Rattus norvegicus: one gene and its partners. The protein of the gene in region 1 interacts with the protein of each later gene in a pairwise test. Links are inferred from orthologs where the notes say so. Each region holds a gene or a part of one and is shown in the gene's direction. Other genes may lie near its edges. The genes, in order: Htt, Mageb18, Kpna3, Nfkb1, Ctnnb1, Copb1 and Dnm2.

Region 1 (4,345 bases):
AGCTGTTAGAGACTGCCTCATGTGAGGGCTGGCACTGGCTCTGTGCATCCAACAGTGGCATTAGTAACAGGAGGGACATGGAATTTAAAGACTGTTTCTCTGCTGTCCTTGGCAGTTTAACAGGAGCGGGCTGCTTATACCCCTATAGGAACAATATTGGTTTCTGTATACTTGACCATTTTGAGAAAAGGGAGTGTCTTATGGCCATGGAATAGGGCATTTGAGTCTTACAGGTAGCCCGAAGCTTCATTGGATTTCTCACAGCATGGATCACCTCCAGACAGCTCTTTCAGGAGCCAGCACATTGTTTGTTTGTTTGAGATGGTTTCTGTGTAGCTCTGTGTCCTGGAACTCATTTTGCAGAACAGGCTGGCCTCGAACTCAAGAGATCTGCCAGCCTCTGCCTCCTGAGATTAAAGGTGTGCTCTACCATTGCCTGGCTTTTTTTTTTTTTTCTTTTCTTTTTCCCTTTTCCTTTTTCTTTTGAGACAAGTTCTGATATAGCCCATGCTGACTTGAATTCACTATGAATCCAAGGGGAAACTCTAGAACTCCTGATCCTCCTCCCACCTGCTGAGTGCTGGGATTACAGGCATGATTACCACTCCTGGTTTATAAAGTGCAGGGATTAAACCCAGAGCTTCTGTGCATGCTACTCAAAGCATTCTACAAGTGCTGTGATTAAAGGCATGCACCACCATACCCGGCTGAAGCCAACACTTTTTGCTAGGCAGGCTGAAGGAACAGCCTGGGTGTACTCGCACCATTCTTAGCTTCCTGCTTTTAATTGTTTACCTTTGGGAGATGGAGGCTCTAGAGACAAGGACCTCAGCCCTGGTGGCAATGAGACCCCCCTTTTAGATTCTGGCTGATGGGTATAGCAGTTCCCAGGGTCTGGGTCTCATTGTAGTGTGTCTGACCAAAGCTCCCCAGTTCGCTGCGCTCGGGACTGAAGCTCAGGCCATTGCCTGGCTAGTGGAAAAAAGAGCCTCTCTGGATTCTGGGTTCCGAGCTCCACAGTCGCCTTCCCGGTGACTCCAGGTGTAGTGTGGCTTTATGCAGGGAAATTTCTTCTCTTTCTTTCCCCTTTCCAACCCTTCCTTCCTTCCGGGTCTCCCCAACTCCTCTGCCCACCCCCTCACCACTTTTCTGTCGCCGTTGCCGCGCTCACTCTCGGCTCAGCTCCGCCCCTCATCTGGCAGCCTGCCTCGCCCACCGATCCTCTTGCTTGGCTTTTTCACTCAGAGGAGCTTTCTTCGGCCGGGAAGGGGCGGGGCCTCATCGGCGGGGCGGAGAGTCTTAATAAACTAGCAGAGGCAGGGCACGCCCACGACCAAACGTTGAGAAAGAGGACGACGCATCCGCTTGTCAATTCTGCAGGTCTGGCGTGGCCTCGCCTCCGCCGGCATGACGTCACGGGACGCACTCGCCGCGAGGGTTGCCGGGACGGGCCCAAGATGGCTGGGAGCTTTGGTTCCGCTTCGGTCTACCTCGTAGAGCCCCATTCATTACCTTGCTGCTAAGTGGCGCTGCGTAGTGCGAATAGGCTCCAAGCCTTCAGGGTCTGTCCTGTCGGGCAGGAGGCCGTCATGGCAACCCTGGAAAAACTGATGAAGGCTTTCGAGTCGCTCAAGTCGTTCCAGCAGCAACAGCAGCAGCAGCAGCCGCCGCCGCAGGCGCCGCCACCACCGCCGCCGCCGCCGCCTCAACCCCCTCAGCCGCCGCCTCAGGGGCAGCCGCCGCCACCACCGCCGCTGCCAGGTCCGGCCGAGGAGCCGCTGCACCGACCGTGAGTCCGGGCGCCGCAGCTCCCGCCCGGGGCCCGCGCCCCTGGCCTGCGTGCTGGGCATGGCCAACGCGGTCCCCTGTCCAGAGGGTCGCGGTACCTCCCTGAGGCCAGGCCTTCCCGGCCCGGGCCCTTGCCTTGAGGGGTCTTTGGCCTTCCCCAGAGGAGACAGCCTGGTCAGGCCAGCGAGGGACTCGCTGAGGAGCGTCACGGCTCCAGTGCCTTCACGGTTCCCAGTTTGCGAAGTTAGGGAACGAACTTGTTTCTCTCTTCGGGGGAAACTGGGGCGGTGGCGCACTTGACTGTTGTGAAGAGAACTTGGAGAGGCAGAGATCTCTTGGGTTACCTCCTCATCAGGCCTGGGAGCCGGGAGTGCAGGACAGCGTGAGAGATGTGCGGATAGTGGATGACATAATGCTTTTAGGAGGTCTCGGCGGGAGTGCTGAGGGCGGGGGAGTGTGAACGCATCCAATGGGATATTCTTTTTCCAAGTGACACTTGAAGCAGCCTGTGACTTGAGGCACTTCATACTCTCCTGGCGTTTTCGTTTAGTTCATGGTGCAGTGTAGTTAACAAGGTTTTAAGCATCGCTGGAGAGGTGTGCTTCTGTATGCTCTGTTGGTCTGCAGGCAGTTGGATGAGTTGTATTTGTCAAGTACACGGTGAATTACTTATGTGTGATTATTAATACAAATTATACGTGTATGTGCATATATATGAAAGAGTGGACTGATATTTATTGCCTATCTATTTTCTGTTGTATATAAAATGGATACATTGGTATTGTGCAGTTTACACCCGGGAGTGTTGCAGTCAAGCTTGTTTTAGAACATGGACCACTCAGACTCTGTGTAGATATCTCGTGTACCAGTAAAAGTTCCTGTTTAGTTCTTTACTGACATCTTATAGATCTTTGGAAGCTCACTGCTTGTGACTGGAGAGAATATTGAAACAGAAGACAGATCATGAGTCACAATGCTCTAAGAGAAAAGAGATGCTCAAGATATTTCCTGGAAGTCCATGCTGGGTGTTCAGCCCCGTGATTTCTTGAGCTCAGGTCTTTCTCTCAACTCTGGGCATTTTATTTCTAATCTGAACTTGTATAATTAATAAGGAGAACTTTCAGGAAACAACCTACTAAAGAAGGACATTAAAACTCATTAGAAAACAAGTGTTCTAATGATACCACTGAGCTTATTCCAAGCTCATTTTTACTAATTTTTTTTTTTTTTGTTTTTGTGTTTCTGATAGCATCCCTTCCCTGTTCTGAGTTTACTTTTAAAAGATAAAGATTTGGGGAGAAATGTTGTCTTATTTGTAGAACAAAATATATGAATAAATTTATCTTCTATAAGGTGAAAATTGTGAATAGAAAACCTCTTATCTCTAGATAAGTAATTTCTTTTTGCTTTCGAGACAGTCTCACTATGTAACTCCTGTAACTTATGGAGATCTATCCTCCTGCCTCTGCCTCCTCAGTGCTGGGATTAAAGGCATGTGGCACCATGCTTGACTGTTCAAATATTTTTTTAGTTAGTTGTTTAGATTATTACCATGACTCTGCCTCTCTTGGTGGTAGGAATTGTGGAAGTTTACATATTTCCCACATATTCTGTAAACTTGTGTGTGTGTGTGTGTGTGTGTGTGTGTGTGTGTGTGTCTTTGTCAGAGAGAGTGTTCTGTACCCGCTTCAAACACAAATTAGTTTGTTTTTGCATAAGTAATTAAGTAATTCATTAAACATGATACAGTCCCATAGATAAAAAAGGCTAAATAATGAAAACATCTCCCTTCCCGTTTCCTAACTCTGTACCAAGGAGCAAGCTCTGTTACACTTCATTTGTCCTTCCAGATAAAATTTGGGCATATGTTAGGGCAGGCTTTTTAAATTCTTTATAAGCAAAAGTGTTTTGGAACAAAAGCTTTTAAAAGCTTAAACAACCCCTTGTTACCACACTGTACATCACCAACTGTAACATTTTCCAAAGTCAGCTCCATTAGTGTATATTTTATATTTCTATGTACTTTGCTGTGAAAAACCAAATGCTCATTAATAATAAGTAACAAACTCACTGCTTGGAAGCTTTGATTTTGGCATTCTGTTCACTCACTCCGCTTAAAAGTCCTTTTTTCAAAGTGAGACCAGCCAAAACAGTTTTAGAATGAATCTGTTCTATTTTTATGACTCTCATTGTGTTCCATAGAACCAGTGTCACAGCCATGCGTGGGCTTCTGTTGAAATAGCCGAGAACTTGTTCTCTGCTCAGCTGGCTGCATTGGGTCCGATAGGCCTTAAGCAGTTGACATTCACCTTTAATAGACCTCATTAGGTTTCCTGATCGTAGTCATTCATTTATCAATATTTGCTGATCATCTCCTGTGTGCCCAGACTTATTCTAGTTCCAGGTTTTAGCAGGGAACAAAGTTATGACCTCATGAAGCTAAAATTCTTGGGAGGGACATAGACAGTGAGCAAGGTAGTTTGTTCATAGTAAGTGATGAGGTACAGTAGGGAAGGGGATTAGGAAATGCCAGGCTTGACTGCTTTAGACATGGTAT
Region 2 (4,191 bases), on another chromosome or scaffold:
AGTGTTTGTTGACCAGCATGTAGGAATAAAATTCAGGGACGTACAAAGGAACTATGGTGGAGAAAACACAAATTAGTTATTTAGAAGTATAGTGATTGAGTATATAAATAAAAAGAAACTTTCAAGTATCAAAATGGCATAATAGAACTTAGATATTTTTGTATACAGAAGATTATTGTATATGTGAACAGAGATAATTTCATTTTTGTTAATGATTTGCTGCACTATTTTCTTTGATACCTGCCTCTTGGATGGGGCTAGGATTCCCAATGCTACATTGAATAGCAGTGGCAGAAGCAGAGAACCTTATATTTTTCCTGATCTTAAAAGGAAATCCTTCAGTTTTCCCATGTTAAGTGTGATGCTAGTGATGTGCCTCTTATATGTCGCTTTTATCATGTAGATATATAACTTCTTTCTTTTTTGTTTATTCTATTACTGCAACACGATGTCGTACCTTTTTGACACGATGTCAATTTTTGTTATCATTTAGACGATTGAATAATTTTTATTTTCCATTTGGCTGATGTGATGGGTAGCACTAATTATCATGTGGGTAACGGTAGGTATATTCCAGGCATACCATTATAGCCATGGTATGTAATCTTCTTTACATACTGTCCAGTTCAGTTTGTTAGTACTATGCTGAGGATTTTTGCATGAATATTTATCAGGGATATCTACTGTGGTTGTCTCACTGTCAATGTAATGGAGGTATTCTCTAGTGGTTTTGTCCTGTAGGATTTTCTTCCTTTTAAGTCATATTTAAGCCTCTAGTTCTTTTGGGGTTGATTGTTTTCATATACTGTGTGAGATGATGATCTGTCATTGTTCTGCACAAGGATGCTTAGCTCATCTGCCACCATACTAGATAGAGTCCTTCCTCCATTGTATGTTCCTGGGATCCTTGTCAAAATCTTGTCTGCAGTATGGAGTTTTTTTTTCTGGATTGTCTATTCTCATAGCCGGCATTCTATTCACCATAAGTGACAATGACTAGGTTAGCTGATTAGATGTTTATAGCAAATATTGATCCCAGTCTTTTGCTGCCAGGAAGTTCAAGTACAGATTTACTTGAAATGGTTAAAGCCAATCACTCACAGATGATTAAAAATTTAAAGTGGGTATGTGCTCAAAGATGGTTTTGAAAATGGCAGGTAGTGGGAAATGGCCTTAAAGAAATTAAATGCTTTTAATATTGAATTTAGAATTTATTAAATTTCCCATTTTTAGTAATAGGATTTTTAATTTAATTTTTCTAGGTAATAGAATGCTGACAGTTTTGTTAATGAAATCTTTATGGATAAAAGTAAGAGGGGAATGGAAATATCTGCTAATATAAAGAAGACAATTGAACCCTGGAGAAATAAAATATCCAATGCTTATTCCTCTGAGAATAAAGGTGGGGTTTTTGGTCTGCTTAAAGAATATTTTATGGATTTATAAACAAAATGAAACTGTCTTGATAATTCATTATTGATAAATCCTTGTCCTCTTTGGCACTCTACTTTTCTTGAATATCTTTATTTTATACAACATTGGCACTCAGCTATTAGCCTAGATTTCTGGATGTTTGTCTTCTCTGGCCTTTATCCCTATCAAGTCTTATGACTTGTGTGTTCTAGGATTTTCTTTGTGTGGTCTCTCCAACTGAATAGAAAAGGGAAGGATTTCTAACCTCCATAATTTCTAACGTGATCACTTTTTCTTAATTGCTAGATCATACTTGTCTCCATCACCATCCAATTAATCTTCCCTGTGTCATCAGTCATCTTTCTCTGATGTAACTGTCCTAACGTCTCTTGTTTGCAAACCTTCCTAACGAAGCTTATGAATGGAGCTACGTGGTAGACTGTTATGTAGCAATTGAAACCTTCCCTCCTGAAAGAGGGAGGGAGGCTCATAAGACACAGGAAATAAACAAACTTACAACTTTCAAAAGGCCCCGGAACTTATAAGATTCATAAGGCCCCTTTCCAAGGTTATCTAAACAGTAACACTTGCTGGACAGAGGAGACTCTCTCACCCCCACCGGCTCAGCTGCCTGTGCGCCATGCAAGGAGCTCCAGAGATGCAGCTTTGGTGAGTCGTCGTCACCAATGCTCTAGTGGATTTTTTGATGATCATCTGGCTTTGCGACATCCATGCTGTACGGGTAAGTAACCCCCTCACTCATACTCCTATAAGTAATATCCCGACAACTGATCAACTGCTAAATTACGCTTGGATACAACTGTTTCTTTGCTGTTATTCGCCCTATCTGAGGCGAATAGACTTTTGTTCAGGGAAAGTCCCACAACACAGATTAAAATTCTTTGACCCTTGAGTCATTGAGCAATGGGGTTCTGTGTTCTCTTATGTTGCATATGGGTGAACTTTGTGAGAGTTTTCCTGAAAAAGTCAATACGAGTAATGTGAAGCTGTTTGTTTCTTGGCTTATGAGTTGAGAGACTGGCTGTTTATAATTATTGTTTCTTGGACCACTTTCTCTTTGGATACTCCCTCTTGTCACACAGTTATACAAATTGCAGGCCACTTGGAAAAGTCATGTGTATGTGTTCCAGTTGAAAGCTCCAGATGTGCTCTCAGCGTCAATTCATAGCTATGGGATTTAGCAATCTTGAAACCTCTGGGCCAATAGTTGCAGTTGATGGAGATTTGGTATGAACTATATTCTCAGCCAATATTTGACTGTAACATCCCAGTGCATGAAAGTTCAGAAAAGAACCAGCAGTGAGCCCAGTCCAATAATAATAATAATAATAATAATAATAATAATAATAATAATAATAATAATAAAAAGCAGGACATATAAAAAATGAACTAGAAGCTAGGTGTGGTGGCAGTCACCTTAAATCATAGCACTCGGTAGGCAGAGGCAGAGGCAGAGGCAGAGGCAGTTGGATCTCTGTGAGTTTGAGGCCAGCCTTGGCTACAAAATCCAGGAGTCCAGGATAATCAGGGCTTTGTAACACAGAGAAACCCTGTTTCAAAACACAAACCAATAAAAACAAAACAAAACAAAAACCCAAACAGCAAAAAGGACAAATAACACTAAACTACAATTTAACAGTGTAGTTTTAAGCTGAATTGATTTTCAGTAATAGATAACTGAAAGAATTTGGCTTAACATGTGCTCTTTGTTCTCTGTTGACCTGCTTTTAACTATTATTTTACAATTATCCTAACAGGCACTATTTTTTTTCAATTAACTTGAGTATTTCTTATATACATTTCGAGTGTTATTCCCTTTCCCGGTTTCCGGGCAAACATCCTCTCCCCCCTCCCCTTGTTTATGGATGTTCCCCTCCCCATCCTCCCCCCATTGCCGCCCTCCCCCGAACAATCTAGTTCACTGGGGGTTCAGTCTTAGCAGGACCCAGGGCTTCCCCTTCCACTGGTGCTATTACTAGGATATTCATTGCTACCTATGAGGTCAGAGTTCAGAGTCCAGGGTCAGTCCATGTATAGTCTTTAGGTAGTGGCTTAGTCCCTGGAAGCTCTGGTTGCTTGGCATTGTTGTACATATGGGGTCTCGAGCCCCTTCAAGCTCTTCCAGTTCTTTCTCTGATTCCTTCAACGGGGGTCCTATTCTCAATTCAGTGGTTTGCTGCTGGCATATGCCTCTGTGTTTGCTGTATTCTGGCTGTGTCTCTCGGGAGAGATCTACATGCGGTTCCTGTCAGCCTGCACTTCTTTGCTTCATCCATCTTGTCTAATTGGGTGGTTGTATATGTATGGGCCACATGTAGGGCAGGCTCTGAATGGGTGTTCCTTCAGTCTCTGTTTTAATTTTTGCCTCTCTCTTCCCTGCCAAGGGTATTCTTGTTCCCCTTTTAAAGAAGGAGTGAAGCATTCACATTTTGATCATCTGTCTTGAGTTTCATTTGTTCTAGGCATCTAGGGTAATTCAAGCATTTGGGCTAATAGCCACTTATCAATGAGTGCATACCATGTATGTCTTTCTGTGATTGGGTTAGCTCACTCAGGATGATATTTTCCAGTTCCAACCATTTGCCTACGAATTTCATAAAGTCATTGTTTTTGATAGCTGAGTAATATTCCATTGTGTAGATGTACCACATTTTCTGTATCCATTCCTCTGTTGAAGGGCATCTGGGTTCTTTCCAGCTTCTGGCTATTATGAATAAGGCTGCTATGACCATAGTAGAGCACGTGTCTTTTTTATAT
Region 3 (4,336 bases), on another chromosome or scaffold:
CTTATATTTGCTAAGATTCTTGTGGTCGTTTGAATAGGGATGGCCCCTATAGACTCATGTGTTTGATTGCTTGGCCCATAGGGAGTGGCACTATTAGGAGGTATAGCTTTGTTGGAGGAAATATGAGGTGGACATTGGGTCTCCTATGCTCAAGTTAGGTCCCTTGTGGACACAGTCACCTTCTGCTGCCTGCAAATTGAGATGTGGAACTCTCAGCTCCTTCTCCAGCACCATGTCTGCGGGCATACCACCATACTTCCTGCCATGATGACAATGGACTCAACCTCTGAACTGTAAGCCAGCCCCAATGAAATATTTTCCTTTATAAGAGTTGCCATGATTATGGTGTCCCTTTACAGCAACAGAAACCCTAATTAAGACAATTCTGAAATGTAATACTCATATATAATCTAATAAGGTTATCTTGCTGTAAAAACAAAAACAAAACCAACCAACTAACCAACCAAAACCAACAAAAAAACTGTTATTGTTCCAACAGGAAGCTAAAGGGAGTTGACAATCTGGAGTCTGCAGACTTAGGTCCTGAAGGCTACATTGTGTTAGGTAGACTAAAGCATCAGGTCATAGAAAGGTAGGGCTGCCAAAGTGAAGGTTGCACAAGGATGCTTGGAGAAATCAGGGGATGCTAGAACACTTTTTTTTTAAAATCAGAATTTACTAGGTACTGTTTTGATCTGACAGATTTTTGAGACCAACAGTGTCTCTTTTCTCATTGAGTTTAATAGCGGGTGCAGGAAGCAATCATAAACACACACATCACACTCACATGTATTTGTGGAGTGGAAACAAGCGTGCTATTTATAAAACCGAAGCAAAGCAGAGAACAGGGTTTGAGGGTGGCTGCTATTTGAGGAGACCCTAAAGAAGCCAAAAGCGCAAAGCACGCGTGGCCGTTCTTTTTCTAATTTTCGAAGCTGTAGAAAGCAAGGTGCGCCCCCGGAGCTCCGCCTCTCTCTCCGGATAGGCTGCAAGGTGCCATCTCCAGAGTTGCCCCGCCCACCAGCCCGCCCAGAGGTGGGGCTTCGAGCCCGCGCTCAGAGAGCGCCTAGCCGAAAGCGCGCGCACAGCCCTCCCGGCATGCTTCTCGTCCTCTCACACCGTGGCTCAGACCCGCGCCTGGCAATCTGGGAATTGTAGTTTGCGCCCTCCGCCCCGCTTCAGGGGTGGCGGTAAAAGCTGCTAGGTCGGGCTCCATTTCTAGCACATGACTAGCTGCTGTGGGGAGGCCCGGCGAAGGGGTGAGGGTAGGGTCAACGCGACAGCCGGCAGGCCAGCGCCCCGGCCTTCTCCGGCGCGCGCCTTTCCTCAGCGCCGCCCCCGCGCCGCGGCCACCTCGCGCTCCAAGCGTCACGGAGCGCGCGCTCCTCCCCCTCCGTCCCCTCCCGCTCGACTCGCCGCCGCCGCCGCCGCCGCCGCCGCAGGAGCAGCCGCCTCCGGAGCCGCGCGCAGCCATGGCCGAGAACCCCGGCTTGGAGAACCACCGCATTAAGAGCTTCAAGAACAAGGGCCGCGATGTGGAGGCGAGTGTGCTCCGCGGCTGGCTGGGTAGGGCGGGGAGGGGCGGGGGCCCGCGGCCGCTGGCTCTCGCCGGCTGGCGGTCAGTCGGAGTTGGCCGCCGCCTCGGGGCGCCGCGGCCCGGGCAGCAGCCGCCCTCTGAGCGGCTAGCGCGGCACCTGGGACCGCTGAGCGCTCGGCCCCGCTGCGCGGGCGCGGCCTGGCGTCGGAGGGGAAGGGATGTGGAGCCGAGGCGGGGTCCGCGGGCCGCGCGGGAGGACGGACCGGGATGCTGCCGCCCCGCGTGCCGACCGCACCGCCGGGGCCGGGCCGCCGCTCGTGTCCGCAGCCGGTGCAGCCTCCCGCGCTGCCGCACATGGAGCCTGGGTCCCCGCGCTTACCTTGTGCGAGCCGGGCCCAGGCGGGCGGTGGCAGCCCTCAGAGGGGGGTGGGGACCAGCCGGGTAACTGACTTGTTTGAGGGTGGTGGATGGGGGAGGGTAGGATGCGCCAAGACCATTTTCTTATATTCCAGTGCTGTCCTTTGGACCAGTCTTCCCGAGCTGTTGCAGCTCATACCCCTGTGACTGCTGGCATTTGGAGCGAGCTAAAGGTGGACAATAGTTTACCGTCTATTGTGTTGAAGCTTTGGGAAGGAGGTTGTGCAGACCTCTGATCTTGGGATTTTTTTTTTTTCTAAAGCACGTTTTGGAGTGGAAGTGTGAATAATAGGAAAATAATTTCTTTGACCTGTTTTGCAGAAATAAATTGGATACATAGATTCCTACGTCCTTGTGTATACCACATGCCACCAAGCTAGTAGATTTTCCAAGTGGTTGCAAAACTGTAAACATTCATTGTGGTCACTCAGTTTGCTGCTACTCAGCATGTTGCCATTGTCTCATTAAGGTGACATTAGCAGCTACTATTTGCAAACTCTGCTTATTGAGGTAGCGCTAGAGGTCTCTCTGCTCCTACTAAAACCAATGAAGTGTAATAGCACAAACTTCACTGGGACCCAACCTCTGGATTTGATGGGGGAAATAGTTTTGAGCCCATATCCTCTTCTCTATTCTAATAGTAGGTAATATGATTTGTATAGTCTAGTAGTCTTTGGTAAGAGGCTAGTTAGTAAATACAGGGTTTGGTTTGGTTGAGAAGCAGACGAACCTGGACCATTTTTCAGAGCTACAAAATTAATTATGAACTGGAAAGAACCTGGGGGAATATCTGTGGAATTCCCATTTGAGTGAGACTATAGGTTTTCTATCTCTGCCCTGATCACATTTAAGTTTCTTTATGAGAATTCCAAACAAAAGTGAAACCTAGCAAATGGAACATCCATCAGTCTGTTTTTTTGGTAAGAGTGTGTGTGTGTGTGTGTGTGTGTGTGTGTGTGTGTGTGTATGTATGTGTATGTGTATGTGTATGTGTATGTGGCGTGTGTGTGGTCTCTCTTGCTTTTCATTTGTTTTGTTTTTGAGACAAGGCTTTAACTACAGGGCAGGCTGGTTAAGCAGAGAGAATAATCCTGCCTCAGTCTCCCACGTGCTGGGATTACAGGTGTGGGCCACCACACTTTGTCCCACCAGTAATTGTTCTTGAGGTTGTCTCTTATTACTGTAAGCAAAACCTGAATAGTTTACGTGGATACTCTATTGCTTGTACATTCTTTCCTTTTCTGGATGTTGGTGTAAGTTTTTGTCATGATTCGTTTGAGTTCTGTGTCCTGTTTGTTAAATGATAACTAGTGAGGACTTCTGCATGTAATAGATCCACAGCAACTACTTGCTGCTTACTAGAAGGTGACAAGTGGCTTGTGGATACATGAAAAGGACAGTTGCCATTTTGTCGGGTTTTGTTTACAACATTTCATGTCCAAGCCTATGTCAGTATAACTAGGACATGAAATAGGCATTCAAATGGTAGTTCTTTGTGGCAGACACAAAGAACTATACATTGGTGTGCTATACCAAGAACATTTAATCCTCACCACTTAGAAGTGGTGCATTCCTTTACTAGAGAAGAAGAATTCTTTTTTTTTTTTTTTTTTTTTTTTTTGGTTCTTTTTTTCCGGAGCTGGGGACCGAACCGAGGGCCTTGCGCTTCCTAGGCAAGCGCTCTACCACTGAGCTAAATCCCCAACCCCAAGAAGAATTCTTCGATATAGAATTGCACGTTTCTGTAGCGTGCTGGTAACATCTGAGAGCATTCATTTGCTAAGTGACTATTGGGTGACTAGTGCAAACAAAGATGGCGTCCGAGTGATCTCTGACAGATAAATGGGAATGAGCTGATCCTGAAGAGTCAAAGAAAAGCTTGGTGCGCCCTCAGTAATCTCAGCACTTGTTGGGATAGCGGCAAGTTAGGAGTTCAAGGTCATCCTGAACCGGCGGGCACCCTACCTCAAAAAATAAGCAAATGAATGAAATGAAAAGGTGATAACTGGGGAAGGGGAAGGGCAGGGTCGAAGAAGGGGATAGGCTTTTGTGATTTGAAGATTACTAATTTCCGAAGTTCCTAGAACTGCAATGGGACTGCTTTGCTAAGGGGTTCTGGGGAGTGGGTGGATGCTAGAAATGTAGTGGAAGGGTAATCTAGGGTCTGGTCTAATTTAGGGTCTTTATTGTGGTTTTAAACAGAACTAAGAGGAGATGCCAGCCATATTAAATTTATTTTTCCCATTAAAAGCTGTGCTGCATTTGAGTCATACTATGAGTTAGCACTATAATTAAGTAGTTGCGATTATTAGGGTGTTTGCTATTGTTTCTTTACAAATAGTGTAGACAGAAGATAAAACATTTTTAAATTATGCAGTCATC
Region 4 (4,445 bases), on another chromosome or scaffold:
GCGTTCTCATAGTATATCCCACTGCCTCTACCTTTGTAACAATTTTATTATATGCCTTTGACAATGGGACTGCCACACCTGGCAGACTGCAGAGTTTTCCCGTCCCCACCTAGTCCACAGAGGAAAGACAAACAACTTACACGTCGTTGTTCCTCTAGAGCTTGCCGGTTTTGTATTCATGTCAGCAGGGGGAAAAATCATTTTATATACATTCTATATAACAGTGTGCTTAAATCATAGCAAGGACACAGTTTTCTCTTTTCCTCTCCTTCTCCCTCCCCCCCACCTCCCTCCCACACTGTTTGTGGTGTGGGGGTGGGGGGCAGAAGGTCTGTGTCTGTCACTTTAGTCACTGAACCTGGAGCTCAGAGGTTGGCTTTGTTGGCTAGCCAATGAGTTCCAGATCCAACTGTCCCTCTCACTGCTGAGGTTACAGGCGCCCCCATCTGCAACGACTTTTACATACAGAAAGGCTAAAGGTCCCAATAACCACTCTGTTGACTGATTTCCAAGGCCCCTAGGGCACAATTTCTATTGTCCCATAAATAATAACAAAGTGTTTCCATCCTTGTCTTCCATTTATAGGAAGCCTCTGAACTCTAGATGGCAAAAGGACCTCAGGAATCTAAATGAAACAGCTTTAAGGTTGATGATAGGGCACTTTAAGGTCACTTAAAGACGCTCAAATATCCAGTGTGTGTAGGTGGGAGTGGGGGGGCGTCGGAGGGGGGAATCTGTGTTCCTGGAAAGGTTTTTATAACCTCGTGGGTGGGAACGCAGAGGGTTAAGTAGCAAAATAAAACCGTGCTGACTACTTGATTGATCCCTGGCGTTTCAAAGTTGTATTTCCACTTGAACTCAGTAGTGAGACCCTGGACTCTAAAATATGTTTCAGGTCACAGCTCACTTGGGAGCTACCTCGCCCCAGGGTGTCATCCCTGGCCCATGGAGTCACTATGCCCAAAGAATAAGCTCAAATACTAGCAAATGGTCATCAGTGGGAGGCCTCTCCAGAAAAAATAACCTCCCTTGAGCCGGATAAGGATTTATGAGCTGTGAACCAACACCGCGGGTCCCACTGTCACTATAATTCCATCCACAGCGATGATCTCACAGGCCGGACAATTCGCTGTGGCTGGAATAATTGAGAGGATTGAAAGACTTCATCCAGACCCTATATAAGTTCATGATTCTCTGGAGAGACCTCAACTACGATCTCGAAGTTCCGGTTCGCTCTGTGAAGAGATCTGAGTGTATCCAAGACCCCCCAGAGGAGGGAACATGCAGATGAGATTGACTTTTGTGTCCAGCGCGTGGGGACCAGGCTGGTCTCCCGTGGCCTCCAGCTGTCCAGGCCTGCCCTTGGGCTGCGGGCGCCTCCCGGGGGCGTCGCGGTCGCCGCGGGGCTTGGGGTTCGGGGCGCCCGATCCGGGCGCGCGGGCTTCCCCCACCCCCGGCGGCGACCCCACCTCCCGCCCCCGCTGTGCGCGCGCGCGTGGGTCCGTCCGTCTGTCTGCTCTCTCGACGTCAGTGGGAATTTCCAGCCAGGAAGTGAGAGAGTGAGCGAGAGAGGACGAGAGAGAAGTACCGAGGCGAGCCGGGCAGGAAGAGGAGGTTTCGCCACCCGAGCAGCCCGGCTGCGCGCTGACGGCTTCCCGTGCCCTGCGCGCCCCCGGCCTGCCGCCGCCGCCGCCGCCGCCCTCGGCCTGCTCGCGGGCCGGCTCCAGCAGCGCAGGCCGGAGCTCAGGGCCCCGCCGCGCCCGGCCCGCCCCGCGCTTCTCCGCCCGCGCCGCAGCCATGGCGCGCCGCTGAGCCGCCGGCCGGCGCCAGGACCTTACTCGGGCTCCCGCCGGTCCACGCTGCCCCGCAGCGGGAGCCCGCAGGCGCGGAAAGGCCGCGCCTCACCTCCAGGGTAAGCCCCGGGGCGGGTAGGGGAACAGAGCGACCAGCTCTCCGCAGCGCCGGTGCAGCGGGTCCCACCGGCTTGGGACTCACGGGGGGAACCGCGGGGGAACCCGGGGCAGGAGTCGCGGGGCGCGCGGCCCCGGCTGCGGGGACAGAGCACATCCGCACTGGGCGGCCCGAGGCCTTGCGGGCCGGCTGGCGGGGCCCTCCGCGTCTCCGCGGGCGGGAACGGGAACCGGAGGGGAACTCTTGCAAAGTTTTAGAAAGATGTACCCGAGCCCCTGCCGCGGGTGTGGGGTGGGGTGGTGGCGGCCAGGCTGAGGTCCTCCACGGTAAAGGACAGATAGAAAGGTGTTTGGTGCAGTGCACAGCCAGATTTCGCCAAAGGGCGGTCGGTGAAATGAAAGCAGAAGTGCCTGTCAGTCCTCCGGGCAGGCAAAGCCCTTCCCAGCTCCTAAGAATCCCGCAGGAGAGCCTGGGGGCCGCTTACCAATCTGTGATAGACACCGCCACCCCCGATGCACACACATGATACATTCAGCTGCCAAATCTCAACATTGATTTTTCAAAATATAAGGAGGGCCTCACCCCGATTCTCCAGGCCTGGCATCTGAGACAGGAATTACCTACGAATAGCACCTTTTAGACTTTTGATTACTCTAGGATAATGGCACCATGTTATTGTGCCTGACCTCTGAAACAGAAAAAGATACGAATGACGCCTCTCCTACGTGTAAGCTTCCTTCGGTCTTCTGAGCCGGACACTGATCTTGGCTCTCTGTTTATTGGTCTAATTCTAAAGCTTAAATGGAACTAATGATGGAAGATTTCATCGTCTAAATTTAACCCATTTTTATGGACTTTGCAAAGTAAAGGTCGGCACTGCAGCTCTCTAAGTAGCCATGTTTAACTAAAATTTTTGGTTGTTTTAGGGCTCATAACTGAGAACTGCTCGTGGTGTTGAGTAACATTTCATAGCCGTGGCATCAAATGCTGGGTCTCAGAGTGGTGGTTAGTCCTAAAGATGGAGATGGCTTTCTAAAGGAATCTTCAGCGGAGTGTTCTTGGGTGGCAAAAAAAAATGCATTAACGCTCGTCAGACCTTGAAAAGGGAAACTTGATTAAAGTAAGGTCCTTACTGAAGTGGGTTTTTTTTTTCCCCTTGATTTTAATATTGTGCTTTCTAGAGATGGTGTCTCTTACTGTTTGATGCACGAAAAATTATGTAAATTATTTACAGCGAAGTCCTTTGCTTTGCATAAGAACTTGAGAAGCCTGGAATTAAAAGGGTTTGCTTCCTGTTGCATTTAACATTTATCGCCCCAACTGGATGACTAAAAGAGCACGCGTATTGATGGGAACGTGAACTCGGCAACTCTGGTCCATGCTGGTACATCTGGGAGTCTCTTGCTAGCTTAGAGAAAATGTCTCCTTGGCTTAAGCTACTGAATAAACTTGAACACAAAAGAAGGCTTCTCTGTACGCTGAATGCTGGCACTAAAATACTATACTTGCCGGGAAACACTAACCACTTCAAAACCAGAAGACTTTTAAAGAAAGTTGTTTAATCCTGTTAAAGGTTGGTGGCAACCTGATTATCTCTGTCACCTCTTATCTCCGTTCAGAAACTAAGTAGCATCTTGCATTCTACATAGGGCAATTACCTGAACTGTGTAGGTTGTGAATGTGCCTGTGTTTGAAAGCCAGTTAGTAAATACTGGAGTATACATACAGAAAACAGCCCTGCTTCCCCTTTGTAAGCACTGCTTTGATCTTTCTACTTCCTTTTTTACTTCTGCCCTTAAAACTAGCACAGCCAGGCTGACTGATATGCAGTGGGTTAAAGCTGGAGTGATTGGAAACGAACGGCGTCGGATTTAATGGTGCTGTTCCTTTTCATGGTCCTTCGGGTGAACTGAGGCTGAGTGGAGAAGCTAGTATTTCTGTGGGCTGTTTTCACTACTTGCAGACTTCCAGATAACCGATGAAGTAAGCCGCTTTGCTGACGTTCAGGGATTGCTCATTGCGGTAGAGAGGTCTAGATAAAGACTTGGCAACCACACGGACTGTGGATTATCATTCAATCGGCAAGCCATGGTTTTACCTAATTTATTTATGAGGTATTCCCCTGCTCCGAAGAGGGAAAGTTCTGGCTTCTAGGGAGAAGTGACCATTTATAACCCTTAATTAATTTGAGCATGGGCAAAGAAAATAATAGCTGGCATCTTCAAATAGCAGGCCCAAATAGTTGGTCCTGAGTTGCTGTGTGGATTCATGACATAGCCAAGTCGGGGATCAAACCCAGGACCTTGTGAGTGTTCTACTTCCATATACCTGTAGCCTTGCCATCAGGATTCTTGGGGAATGAATTCAAAATACCCTTTCTCCCCTTCACCTAGAGGAGTGTCCTGCTAGTGATCTTCATCTAGATGTTGTGTTCTGTACTGTGTTAGGAGTGTATCTGGAACATGCTAGTTGAATCAGAAGAGCAAATCCTGTGTCCTGCTCTTCTTGTGTGGCAGAGTGAGTAGAAATCCCCA
Region 5 (3,646 bases), on another chromosome or scaffold:
ATTGTTAATGTGTTCTTGTAGTAAAAGAAGCACACGAGGAAGGACTGACTGACCACTCAAGAGCAGGAGGCAGGGCTCAGTTCTTCTGTGGTCTTCACTGTGTCCTGGTGCTCGTGGTTAAAATGGCCGACGTGCAGCACTGTAGCAGTAAATTTCTTCTTAGACCATAAGCAATTTTTAACTCCTAGAGATAAATCCAAAGGTTATGACATTCCATAGTTAGAGTAGTGTTTTCTTTAAATAATTGGATTTGTTCTAGTACACATTTTTTAGAAAGTGAATTGTTGGTGTGTGGTTCTATAATGTGTGTGCTTTATGCAGTGATCTTAATCATAGTTAATACTAATTCAAAATTCTTATAAGGTGAATAAGGCAATTTTATCCCTGATGGGAACTTGGAAAGGAACCTTAATGTAAATCTATACTAGTTCTACAAGAGGAATTTACAGATAAAGTCACGTGATCTTTGAGCTCATAGATAACTGGAAAATACATTTAGAGAGCAAGAAGGAAAAAAAAAAAAACCAAAGAGAAATTGTACAGATTCCTTAGACTGGGTAAGGAGATGCGAGAGAAACTGTGAGTCCCACATGTGCCCTGCCTAGAGACTGCAGACACAGCAGTGTCTGTCACTGGTTACTGCCACCTGGATGAACACTTACACAGGTCCTCCTCATACTGTGGTTGGTTTTCTGAAACACCTTGACTTGGTTCCTGGATCCATTACCATTTTCCTCTCTTATGTTTGAGGTCTCTCCCTCAGTGTTTCAGGAGGATTTTGCAACTTTGGTTAATATTTAACCTAACATTTTTGGTTCTAAGTTTCATGGGGGTACCAGGTTAAAGTATTTGTGGCATCCCTTCCCCCCATTTTAAAAGCACTGTCTGTTTTTACTGAGTTTGCTTTTCTTGACCTTTTTCTTTTGACATTGAAGAATCTCCCACAGTGGCAGTTAGAAAGCATTGATTCCCAGGAATTATGAGGTTGGTCCCTTAAGAAATCGGCAGGGTGTGCCTAGAAGGGAGAAAGCAGCCTTTGGCTTGAAGCCTCTGCTGAGGAAAAGTTTCCTTTGAGGCCAGGCCTTCCCTGCTGCACTTCTGGGTGGACTTCCCAGGGCCGTGCTGCTGTTTTGGTAAATAATGCTTAGAATTCTTGCATTTTTGGATCTTTCTTTGACCTGCATATTGCTACTTAAAGCTGTCAGCTCTCTTTCATCCTGTTTTCATCTCCCTGTTGCTGACATTTGCCCTCCACCCACCTCCCTACCCTCCTCCTCTACCCTACAGGGCCTCTGTGAGAAGCAGGGATGATTCTTATGTACTGCATAGGGTGCTTTGTTAGGTGCTAACACTGGATGCTAATGGATTTTGTGTTCAGGACTCTAACATCTGCAGATACTGAGTTTAGAACATGATCTTTTCCCACATAAAATTATTATATATTGTCTTCCAAATAACCAGGTCAGCTTATACACCAGGCAAGATGGTGAGTGTTTGGGTCCCGCAACACTAAGGAGGAAGCAGGGACAGGGCTCTGCCTGTATGTGGTGGTGGCACCGCCTAGTCTCCAGGCCTGTCTGTGTTGGCCACATGAGGGAAGTGCTAGATACATACAGGGTTCAAGTCCCCTCTGCAAAACTGCAGTGAGCCTGCACTTTCCTGAGGGCTGGGGAAGGCAGCAAAGCAAGGCCACACCCCTTTTCCACACAGGAGTGGGCATCATTGTTGGTTAAAGATGGAGAGCTGTGCTCACTGTACAGAACTTTTCTGTTTTTCACTTTAGGGTAGAAGGCTCTGAGGTAGTGGTCCCCTCCTTTGACAGCTAAGTGTCACTTTGTACTGTGGACCCTGAAGCAAGGGCCCAACCTGAGCTTGCTTACATTAGCCTCGGAGGAGTGATGGAATCCAGATGTGATCCCAGCTCAGGAGGGTGAGCATGGCAGAGTGCCAGCCTGGGCTTCAGAGTGAACAGTTTCTCAGAAAACAGGAAAAGATCGGTGTGTTCTCTCTACTTAAACATCGGTCAATGGTGGGGTTTCTCACTTCATTAAATGTTGAAAAACACCATTGCATGAATTGAAAATGTAGCCATACCTAGAGGTCCTTTCTGTGTCTTTATCCATTTGCTGCTGTTGTTAGCTGTAGTGCTGCCTGCTGGGGCAGACATTAATAATAGAGTCTGGGGGTTGGGGATTTAGCTCAGTGGTAGAGCACTTGCTAGGCAAGGGCCTGGGTTCGGTCCCCAGCTCCGAAAAAAAGAAAAAAGAAAAAAAAAAATAATAAGAGTCTGTTCACAGAGTACTAGAGGTCGTGAGCCTTAAGCTCCCATTTCATCCTTGGTAACTTAGTAGTGTTCTTGAATATTGTATAGTAAGGTCAAAGTGAAGACATAACTTAGGCTAACATTCGCCAGTGGAAGACGTCCCACTGTTGATGGCAGGGGCGTCTGTCTATACCAGCTGACGTGGCACGGACAACATTGTGCGAACTTAGGCAAACCTCATCACAAGGGACTTCCATTTGTACTTCAGACTTTGACTTAAAGATATTCTGCTTCTTCAATAAGCTGCATAAACCACCATTCTGATCTGGTAATTGTGCTATATCAGGAAAAACCGTGGGTTTATTTAATAAAAATTTGGTGGTTTTTCTTTAAAAAAAAAAAAATCTACTGCCTCCTGGCTGGGATTTCCAGGCATCCTGAACCCATGCACAGCCTTCAGGGTTGGTGGTGCAGCTGGATTTTAACTAGTGCTCTCTTGGCTTTCACTAGAGAGAGGCCATTCTCTAGCAGCACCTGTGTCCACACTCTGTTTCTGCTGAGAAGAGCCCAGTGGTGATGGAACTGTGGCTCGTCTGAATTTTCAGTGGATGCCATGATGAACTGACTTGGGTGAGGTGTGGGTGGGAGGAGCCAGAGCCTAAACAGGCAGCAGAATCACAGTGACAGGTTAAAAATCAAGCTTGACTTGTGACGACTTGAACTGTGACGACTTGAATTGTGATGACGGAATCTTTTCAGGGTATCTGAAGCTCAGCGCACAACTGCTGTGACACCGCTTTGTGGACAATGGCTACTCAAGGTTTGTGAATCTCCTCAACGAAGATTTGCTTCCTTCCTGCTGTGTGGGGTGGGGTCTGCCTCAGCCCCTGCTGCTCTTGCACACTGGCTACTGGCTTGGTGACATAATCAACAAGCCACCCAATGGGATCTAGTGGGTGGGTGACTCTGGAGTCCAAGTTCATACCTGTTCCATGGGGCTCACACTGGCATCACCCTGCTCCCCACGGTTGCCTTTCTAAGTGTTCAGCAGGTCACAGCGGGTCCCGTCGCTGACGTCGTACTCAGGCAGCATTCTCAGTGCATTAACACTGTTTTGCAGCTGACCTCATGGAGTTGGACATGGCCATGGAGCCAGACAGAAAGGCCGCTGTCAGCCACTGGCAGCAGCAATCTTACCTGGATTCTGGAATCCACTCTGGTGCCACCACCACAGCTCCTTCCCTGAGTGGCAAGGGCAATCCTGAGGAAGAAGATGTGGACACCTCCCAAGTCCTTTATGAGTGGGAGCAAGGCTTTTCCCAGTCCTTCACGCAAGAGCAAGTAGCTGGTAAAGCAACTCTCTGTGTTACCTTCCCTGACAGG
Region 6 (3,646 bases), on another chromosome or scaffold:
CACGCCTTGCCACTGTATGTAACCTAGAACCTGAAGCCTGGCAGTGTAAATTTTGGGCAACTGAGGTGTAACTTTTTTTTCTTTATATTTTATTGGATTTTTTAAATTTACATTTCTTTTTTTTTTTTTTTTTTTTTTTTTGGTTCTTTTTTTCGGAGCTGGGGACCGAACCCAGGGCCTTGTGTTAAATTTACATTTCAAATGTTATCCCCTTTCCTGGTTTCCCATGAGGTGTAACTCTTAAATCACCATCTCCTTTTACGTCTTTCTACTGGTCATCAATTTTTTGAAGAGTTAACTAAACTGGGTTTCCTCTAAAATGTTCTTCCTCCTGGATGTGGCTGGTTACTTTGCTGTAATGTCACTTAGCTTGTTCCTCTGACTTTTGTATTTTCCATGAAACAAGTCAAATCTAAAACTTGATAGAGTCGAAGCATACATTGTCAGCTTGGCTATGTCACATGTGATGTCATCACTTTATGTCTCATTACACTAGGTAAACCAAGTGTCTACTTCTTCCTACACCACTAATGCCATTACTAATCAGAGGCCTGAGGTGATGGAGGGCAAAAAGCACTGTGGTGCAGTTTGGATATTTTTCTCACAAAGATAAAAACACTGGCATCACTCTGTAGTTTTTGTTTTTTTCAGGATCTGGTCATGGACATCCTACGAGTACTGAGTACACCAGACCTAGAAGTGCGCAAGAAAACGCTGCAGTTAGCACTGGATCTTGTCTCATCTAGGAATGTTGAAGAGGTAAAACAAACATTGGTAACATTATTTGTAAGAGGTCCAGATAGGATGTCGTTCTCACTTATTTTTACTTTTGTCCCCCATAGTTGGTTATTGTCTTGAAGAAGGAAGTAATTAAAACAAATAACGTGTCTGAGCATGAAGACACTGACAAATACCGACAGCTTCTCGTGCGAACACTGCATTCCTGCTCTGTCCGATTTCCAGATATGGCTGCAAATGTTATTCCTGTGGTATGTAACTCTTATTGTTTTACTGTAAGATTCTCTAGATGTTTCATTTTTCTTTTTGGGTTATTTTACATCTACTGAAATTGTAACCATCTGAAATAATAAAGATCAAGATCTTTACATGTATTCCTATGATAACGAGGGAAAGAACTCAGATTTCTTTCTCTAAATCCTCATCACAAACTTGGCTGCACACAGGACTATCGAGACTCCTGTTTATGTGCCAGTGTCCGTCTCAGCTTACGTTTGGTCTATATGTTGAAAATCACGGACTTCCACTCTTTGTTCATTAATTTATTTCTGACTTTATATGCTTTTATCTCTGGAAACTATATAACTATTTGTCCCGTTTCTCTTTTTTGTTAGCTAATGGAATTTCTCAGTGACAGTAATGAAGCAGCAGCTGCTGATGTCTTGGAGTTTGTGCGTGAAGCCATTCAGCGCTTTGACAACCTGAGAATGCTGATTGTTGAGAAGATGCTGGAAGTCTTCCATGCTATTAAGTCTGTCAAGTAAGTTTAAACTACACTTAATGTAAAGTTGAGCACTTTTGTCAGTTTCTATTTTAAAGAGTCAGTAGAAAATAAAATAGAGGAAATAAGATACAGTGCACAATATCATTCACCATTCTCAGTTCATAGTGCATAGAATTGTTTCAGTTAGGCTTCCGTGTTCTAATTATATCTAAAACGTTGTGAACCACAGAATGACCAAGAAACATTTTTTTAAGTGTTGTACTTAAAATCACCTTTTGAATATTATTTATGTCACCCTCAGCATTTATTGAAAAGGTTTGAAAACAATCTGAATCTGATGTGTTTGATTCCATTAGCCTCTGTTTATGACAAAGGGTTTTTGGATACAGATTTTGCTTCATTTATTGCATTTGCTGGATAAACTACAAGAGATTGGTGGTATGTCTACTTAAATAGGATGGGACCAGTACACGGTTAGTTCAGTGGTGTGAAAGTGACTGAGAGGTATACATACACACACACTCAATCACCCCCACACACACATACACACACACATGTCATGTACATATTATGTATGATATGTGTGTATGCATGTATATGAAAGTAAAATTTGTCCTGTTATGACGAAAAATTGAATCAAAGCTTTGCTTTTGACAGCTGAAATCTTCTGGGACTTTAGTTTCTATGGTTGATTTTATTTTTCTAAATAAATTCAGTTAAAATCTAAGAAAAAGGATAACTAAAAATTTTATCCAGTTTAACATTTTAAAATAGAAAATTATTTCTGTCTTTGTTAACTGTCTAAGTTCAGAGGTTTAGTCCATTATTGTGGGAAGCATGATGGCGTGCAGGCAGACATGTTGCTGGAGAGGGAGCTGAGAGCTCTACATCTAGATCCACAGGCAGCAGAAAGTGACTGTGTGTCACATTGGGCATGGCTTGAGCACATATGACCTTAAAGCCTGCCTCCATAGTGGCACACTTCCTACAGCAAGGCCATACCTACCCCTACAAGGTCACACCTACTCCATCAAGGCCATACCTCATAATAGTGCAACTCCAGATGGCCAAGTATTCAAACACATGTGCCTGTGGGGCCGTCCTGTTCACATTTCCCCAGTAACATTTTAGGCTGAGAATTGGCTTTGTTCTTGTGACAGGACACTACTGTGTAGCCTGAGTACCTTTACTGTAAATATGTGCCTACTGCAGCTGGTCGTCATTGCGTGCTGTAGTGCTTTCTGGGCTGGTTTCAAACCCAGCACATGTGTGGTCCCCAGATAAACACTGTACCAGTGAATTGACCCTCAGCCCCAACAAGATGTACTGTATATGTCATCCCACTCAACATTTTATGTCTTGCACAAAAAAAGTGAAATGAATTTAAAAATTATATTCAAATAATATTTTTCTCATAGTAGAAAATGATAAAGCCAAATTTATTAATTTTAACTGTCCCCTAAATGAATGCCCGTGGGAAACATTTGGCTATTTAACTTTTACTGCTCAACTCACTAATTTTAGAATGTTCCTAATGACAGTGAATGCAAATAGCTATTTTCTTAGCTTCCCATTTGTTCCAGTCTTTCTGAAATGTTCCTCTTCCAGAATATAAAATCCTGATTTCTTGCCTTATCTTAAATTCACAGAGAAGTGTTTCTACATCAAGATTTGTTCCCAGGTTTGTATTTCAGATCTTGCATTCTTGTCCTAGGATTTATCGAGGAGCACTGTGGATCCTGGGCGAGTACTGCAGTACTAAGGAAGACATTCAGAGTGTGATGACTGAAGTCCGCAGGTCCCTTGGGGAGGTATGTTTGTGTGCCTTAGAGAACTGCTGTGCTGGCCGTGCAGCTCAGTGGTGAAGTCCATGTCCAGTCACATGCAGCCCTAGGTTCAGTCCTAGTACAAAGAAAGAAAAACAGCAATTGATGTTTCTGTCGTCATTCACTTTTGTGTTTTTGTTATGTAGTGTTGGAGCTAAAGAACACTGAAAATTATATTTTAATTACCCAGATAAATAAACCTCAGGAGCAATAGAAAATTAAAAGTGGCTCCCCTCCCCCTGCCTCCATGAGAACTGTTAACATTTGTTCAAATAATTATTTGTTTATCTTTGGGTAAGATTTTGTTTTAGCAGAATGTGCAGCTATTCTTTTTTTTCCCTTTCTTTCTTTCTTTCTT
Region 7 (3,646 bases), on another chromosome or scaffold:
TGAACTCCTAACTGGGCTCTGACCACCTTTGCCTCTTGATCTTCCCTCAGTGTTGAACTTGACCCTCATCGACCTCCCAGGCATCACTAAGGTGCCAGTGGGGGACCAGCCACCAGACATCGAGTACCAGATCAAGGACATGATCCTGCAGTTTATCAGCCGGGAGAGCAGCCTCATTCTTGCCGTCACACCTGCCAACATGGACTTGGCCAACTCGGATGCCCTCAAGCTGGCCAAGGAGGTGGACCCCCAAGGTAACTCCAGCCTGGGGCAGCAGCCACTTCCAGTAGTGCTAGGTCCCCTCCCTGGTGTGCTATGTCACAGGGTTGTGTTAGAAAGGCCTCCTGAGATGCCTTGCGACACTTGAAATAGCTTCGCTCTTCCTTGAGTGTTGATGGGGTCTACTCCGCCTGCCCTAGAGTCTGGCGTGTGGCTGTCGTAGTCAGCTTTTCATCACTATAGCCAACACGGTGACAGAGACCCTGTCTTAAAGAGCATTCAGGGCTAGTTAGGCTCAGTGTTTCAGAGCACCCTCTTGTGATTAGTGGTTTCTGCTATTGGGCCTGTGAGTGGATAACACTTCACTGTGCACATTGGGAGCAACACAGAATAAGAAAAGGACAAGGGATCCTACAAGGTGATGCTCCAAGTGACCCCAATGACCTGAAAGCTTCAAGGAGACATTTAAAACCCAAATTATAGTCTGCACAGAGTACCTCAGTGAGGGTTGCTCACTTAGAAGTGCCCAGCATGAATGAGGATCTGGGTTCAATCTGACAGCTTATTTGTTAAGAGCACTTTCTCCTGAGCGTGGCAGCACATTCATTTAATTCTAGCACTTGATAGGCAAAGCAGGTGGATCCCCGTGAGTTCAACTCTGACCACTCTACAGTGTTCACTCCATCTGGACCTGGAATAGCTCAGTAGGTGGTGTGCCTGTTAGTGTGGAGGACCCCAGCACTGCATGACACTGGTGTGGTGCTTCACACCTGGAATTCTAGGACTCCAGAGGCGAACTCCAAGAGTTCATCATAGGCATTTAGAGGCCAGTCCGGGCTCTATGAGAACCTCTCTCAAAGAAAGGAAGAAATAAAACCTAGAAAAGTAGAGAAGGGCGCACACAACCTGGTGGAGAGTTGAGGTCATGAGTGGAGGAGACCCTTGAGACGGCAGGGTGAGCTGGAAGCATAGGGCTGCAAGTCCTCCTTCTCAGGAGCCTCCTGCCCATCCAGTCATGCTGCCCGCTGTCCACACCTATGCCTGTGACAAAGCATTAGCAGGGCAGTACAGAATGGGCTAAGGTGGTCACCATTTGTGAGCACACTGGCCTCCTACAGCCATTTTTGTCCTTTTTTCCTTTTTTGCCTTTGCAAGTACTCATCGTTTTTACAGAAAAGTTACCGTGGGAAATCAGGAGCCCACAAACCTCCCCTCTTCCACATAGATAACCCTGGCCACACTTCCTTCCAAAGTTTTTCTTACGTGTAAACTTACTTTTAAGTGGACGTCCTTCCTTATTTTTGTCTGTGCCTCTGTTTGTGGTTGTTGCTCTTGGCGATTGCGACTTTTATTTTTCAGTCGTGGTTTCAGGATGTAGCCCTGGCTACCCTGGACTTGTAGACCGAGATAGTCTCAGTATCAGGTTCTACCTGCTTCCGCCTCCCACGTGTGAGGATTGCAGGTGCAAGCCACACGCCTGGCCCTACTTTATACTATAGTGATAGTATGTTACTCTGTGGGCAGGCCCCACTGTATACTGACCCACTCCTTAGCCTCCCTGTATCTCTTCTTATCAACAGACGGTTTCATTTGGTGTCCATGTCTCAGGCCCCGCCCCACTCATTTCTCTCTCTAGTGTGACCTCTTCCCTATTCGCTGTATGAATTCTTATAGGCACACCCCCTTCACAGTAGTGCCAGCTAATGTAGACACCTGTGATGTCCAAGTCGATACCCACCTTCTGTGGGCCTCCTCAGCCTCTGTGTGTCTTGCACATGTGCATGCAGGCACACATTCACATGTGTATCCAAGCTGGTGCCTGTGTCCTGATGTGACGGCTGTTCTTGCTAGTTAGGCGGGGTCCTCTGTGGTCCAGATTGGCTTCAAACTGTTTAGCTGAAGGTAACCTTAAGCTTCTGGTCCTCCTCTCTACCGCCCGATTGCTGAGATCACAGTGGTGTGTCTCCATGCAGGCTCAGTGTAGCTGACCAGGTGCTTCGGAAAGAGCCCAGGCTCCTTGGCAAGTGCTCTACAGCTCAGCTGGTACAGGGTAGGACCCAAGGTTTCTGAATGCTAAAGCAAGACTGGTCCGTGGAGTACACTGGCCCCTACCCTGGCTTGGAAGCTCAGCTCATAAACTGCTCGGGTGAATTGTGGTCAGGACCCCAAACTACAAAAGCCTTGGCCATAGGGATTAGGGAGTAGTGGGGAGGCTGAGAAGCACATGGGTTTGGCGTAGCTCTGCTGTGGGATGTGCTGACTCTGGTTGACCTGGGGAGAACGTTGATGTCCTTGGCATGGTAATTGAACCAGGTAACAAGGGGCCCTGGAAACCGTTGCTCAGGTTCAAGTGTGATGTTGAGAATGGGCAGGGGAGATCCTGTTTCCATGATGTTCATTGGTTCTGCTGAGGCCCTCGTAGGCTCTTGCTAGTGTTCATTGAAAAAGCGCTTGACACTTGATGGGAGTCCCTGGGGCTATACCTGTCATTTTACACTCTGCCAACAGGTGTCCAGGCAAAAAGACACCATGGCTCTTGTCTCTTGGCCTGTCAGAGGGCCCCAGGGTCCCTTCCTCATCATCCCTGCTGACTTGTGGACTCTTTCAGGCCTGCGGACCATTGGTGTCATCACCAAGCTAGACCTGATGGATGAAGGCACAGATGCCAGGGATGTCCTGGAGAACAAGCTCCTGCCCTTGAGAAGAGGTAGGTAGGGCTGGGGTGGGCCACTGAGCGTGGGTGTGTCTTTTGTGATTCTCCTCTGGACAGTGGGTCTACATTACAGCTGTTTCTGGAACACTAAGAAGCAAGGACACAGCCATGCCTGGTGCTTGCTGTGATCCCAGCACTCTGATGGCAGCCTGGGCTACAGGACACCTTGTTTCAAACAAACAAATACAAAATGTTTCTTCAGAAATAGGTTTAGGTCTAGGTCCTGGGAATGAATCTCAGTGGTATAGCCCTTGCCCAGCATAGCTAGGAACCAGGCTCATTTCCCAGCTTCCCACACAAAGCAACATGTCCTGCTGCTGATTCTGCTCATTGAAGGACCCTGAGCTGTCACTTTCCTATGTAGCGTGCTGGTGTGTAGGTGTTGAAGAATAGACAGCCAGGCACGGACACACATCTGTTAATCCAGCATTCAAAAGCCTGAGGTAGAAGGGTCATGAGTTTGAAGTCAGCTCAAGGTAAAGTGCCGAGACCCTGAGTCTGCCTTCTGGAATTCACATTAAGAAGGAAGGGGGTACTGACTCCATCTGTCTTCCAACCTCCATTTTTGAGAATGTTTTTGAAAACTTTTTTCACTGTAAGGAGTGGGGACCAAGAAACACCTCCCTAGCTAGTGGAGGCTGAGGGATGAATTCTCCTGACCCTGTCCTTCGCCTAGCTGTGGCTGCTGCCAGATCCGTCAGGCCTCCTCCTTAG

What was found.
Region 2: the proteins of Htt (region 1) and Mageb18 interact in binary tests that used the Homo sapiens proteins (3 or more experiments, as listed by UniProt). The link is inferred for Rattus norvegicus from reciprocal best matches to the Homo sapiens genes HTT and MAGEB18.
Region 3: the proteins of Htt (region 1) and Kpna3 interact in binary tests that used the Homo sapiens proteins (3 or more experiments, as listed by UniProt). The link is inferred for Rattus norvegicus from reciprocal best matches to the Homo sapiens genes HTT and KPNA3.
Region 4: the proteins of Htt (region 1) and Nfkb1 interact in binary tests that used the Homo sapiens proteins (3 or more experiments, as listed by UniProt). The link is inferred for Rattus norvegicus from reciprocal best matches to the Homo sapiens genes HTT and NFKB1.
Region 5: the proteins of Htt (region 1) and Ctnnb1 interact in binary tests that used the Homo sapiens proteins (3 or more experiments, as listed by UniProt). The link is inferred for Rattus norvegicus from reciprocal best matches to the Homo sapiens genes HTT and CTNNB1.
Region 6: the proteins of Htt (region 1) and Copb1 interact in binary tests that used the Homo sapiens proteins (3 or more experiments, as listed by UniProt). The link is inferred for Rattus norvegicus from reciprocal best matches to the Homo sapiens genes HTT and COPB1.
Region 7: the proteins of Htt (region 1) and Dnm2 interact in binary tests that used the Homo sapiens proteins (3 or more experiments, as listed by UniProt). The link is inferred for Rattus norvegicus from reciprocal best matches to the Homo sapiens genes HTT and DNM2.

Annotation. Positions count from the first base shown.
Region 1 is NC_086032.1:80,216,746-80,221,090, reverse strand, and holds the start of Htt (huntingtin), read left to right. Parts: upstream 1-1,422; 5' UTR 1,423-1,589; coding exon 1,590-1,789; intron 1,790-4,345.
Region 2 is NC_086039.1:61,453,228-61,457,418, reverse strand, and holds the start of Mageb18 (melanoma-associated antigen B18), read left to right. Parts: upstream 1-1,264; 5' UTR 1,265-2,155; intron 2,156-4,191. UniProt on the Homo sapiens protein: May enhance ubiquitin ligase activity of RING-type zinc finger-containing E3 ubiquitin-protein ligases. Proposed to act through recruitment and/or stabilization of the Ubl-conjugating enzyme (E2) at the E3:substrate complex.
Region 3 is NC_086033.1:39,783,257-39,787,592, reverse strand, and holds the start of Kpna3 (importin subunit alpha-4), read left to right. Parts: upstream 1-1,465; 5' UTR 1,466-1,472; coding exon 1,473-1,541; intron 1,542-1,548; exon of another isoform or gene 1,549-2,004; coding exon of another isoform or gene 2,005-2,127; intron 2,128-4,336. UniProt on the Homo sapiens protein: Functions in nuclear protein import as an adapter protein for nuclear receptor KPNB1. Binds specifically and directly to substrates containing either a simple or bipartite NLS motif.
Region 4 is NC_086020.1:226,802,547-226,806,991, reverse strand, and holds the start of Nfkb1 (nuclear factor NF-kappa-B p105 subunit), read left to right. Parts: upstream 1-1,529; 5' UTR 1,530-1,912; intron 1,913-4,445.
Region 5 is NC_086026.1:129,531,073-129,534,718, forward strand, and holds part of Ctnnb1 (catenin beta-1), read left to right. Parts: intron 1-3,022; 5' UTR 3,023-3,070; coding exon 3,071-3,083; intron 3,084-3,383; coding exon 3,384-3,611; intron 3,612-3,646. UniProt on the Homo sapiens protein: Key downstream component of the canonical Wnt signaling pathway.
Region 6 is NC_086019.1:177,852,198-177,855,843, reverse strand, and holds part of Copb1 (coatomer subunit beta), read left to right. Parts: intron 1-651; coding exon 652-759; intron 760-842; coding exon 843-989; intron 990-1,352; coding exon 1,353-1,498; intron 1,499-3,176; coding exon 3,177-3,273; intron 3,274-3,646. UniProt on the Homo sapiens protein: The coatomer is a cytosolic protein complex that binds to dilysine motifs and reversibly associates with Golgi non-clathrin-coated vesicles, which further mediate biosynthetic protein transport from the ER, via the Golgi up to the trans Golgi network.
Region 7 is NC_086026.1:28,296,018-28,299,663, forward strand, and holds part of Dnm2 (dynamin-2), read left to right. Parts: intron 1-50; coding exon 51-254; intron 255-2,827; coding exon 2,828-2,926; intron 2,927-3,646. UniProt on the Homo sapiens protein: Catalyzes the hydrolysis of GTP and utilizes this energy to mediate vesicle scission at plasma membrane during endocytosis and filament remodeling at many actin structures during organization of the actin cytoskeleton.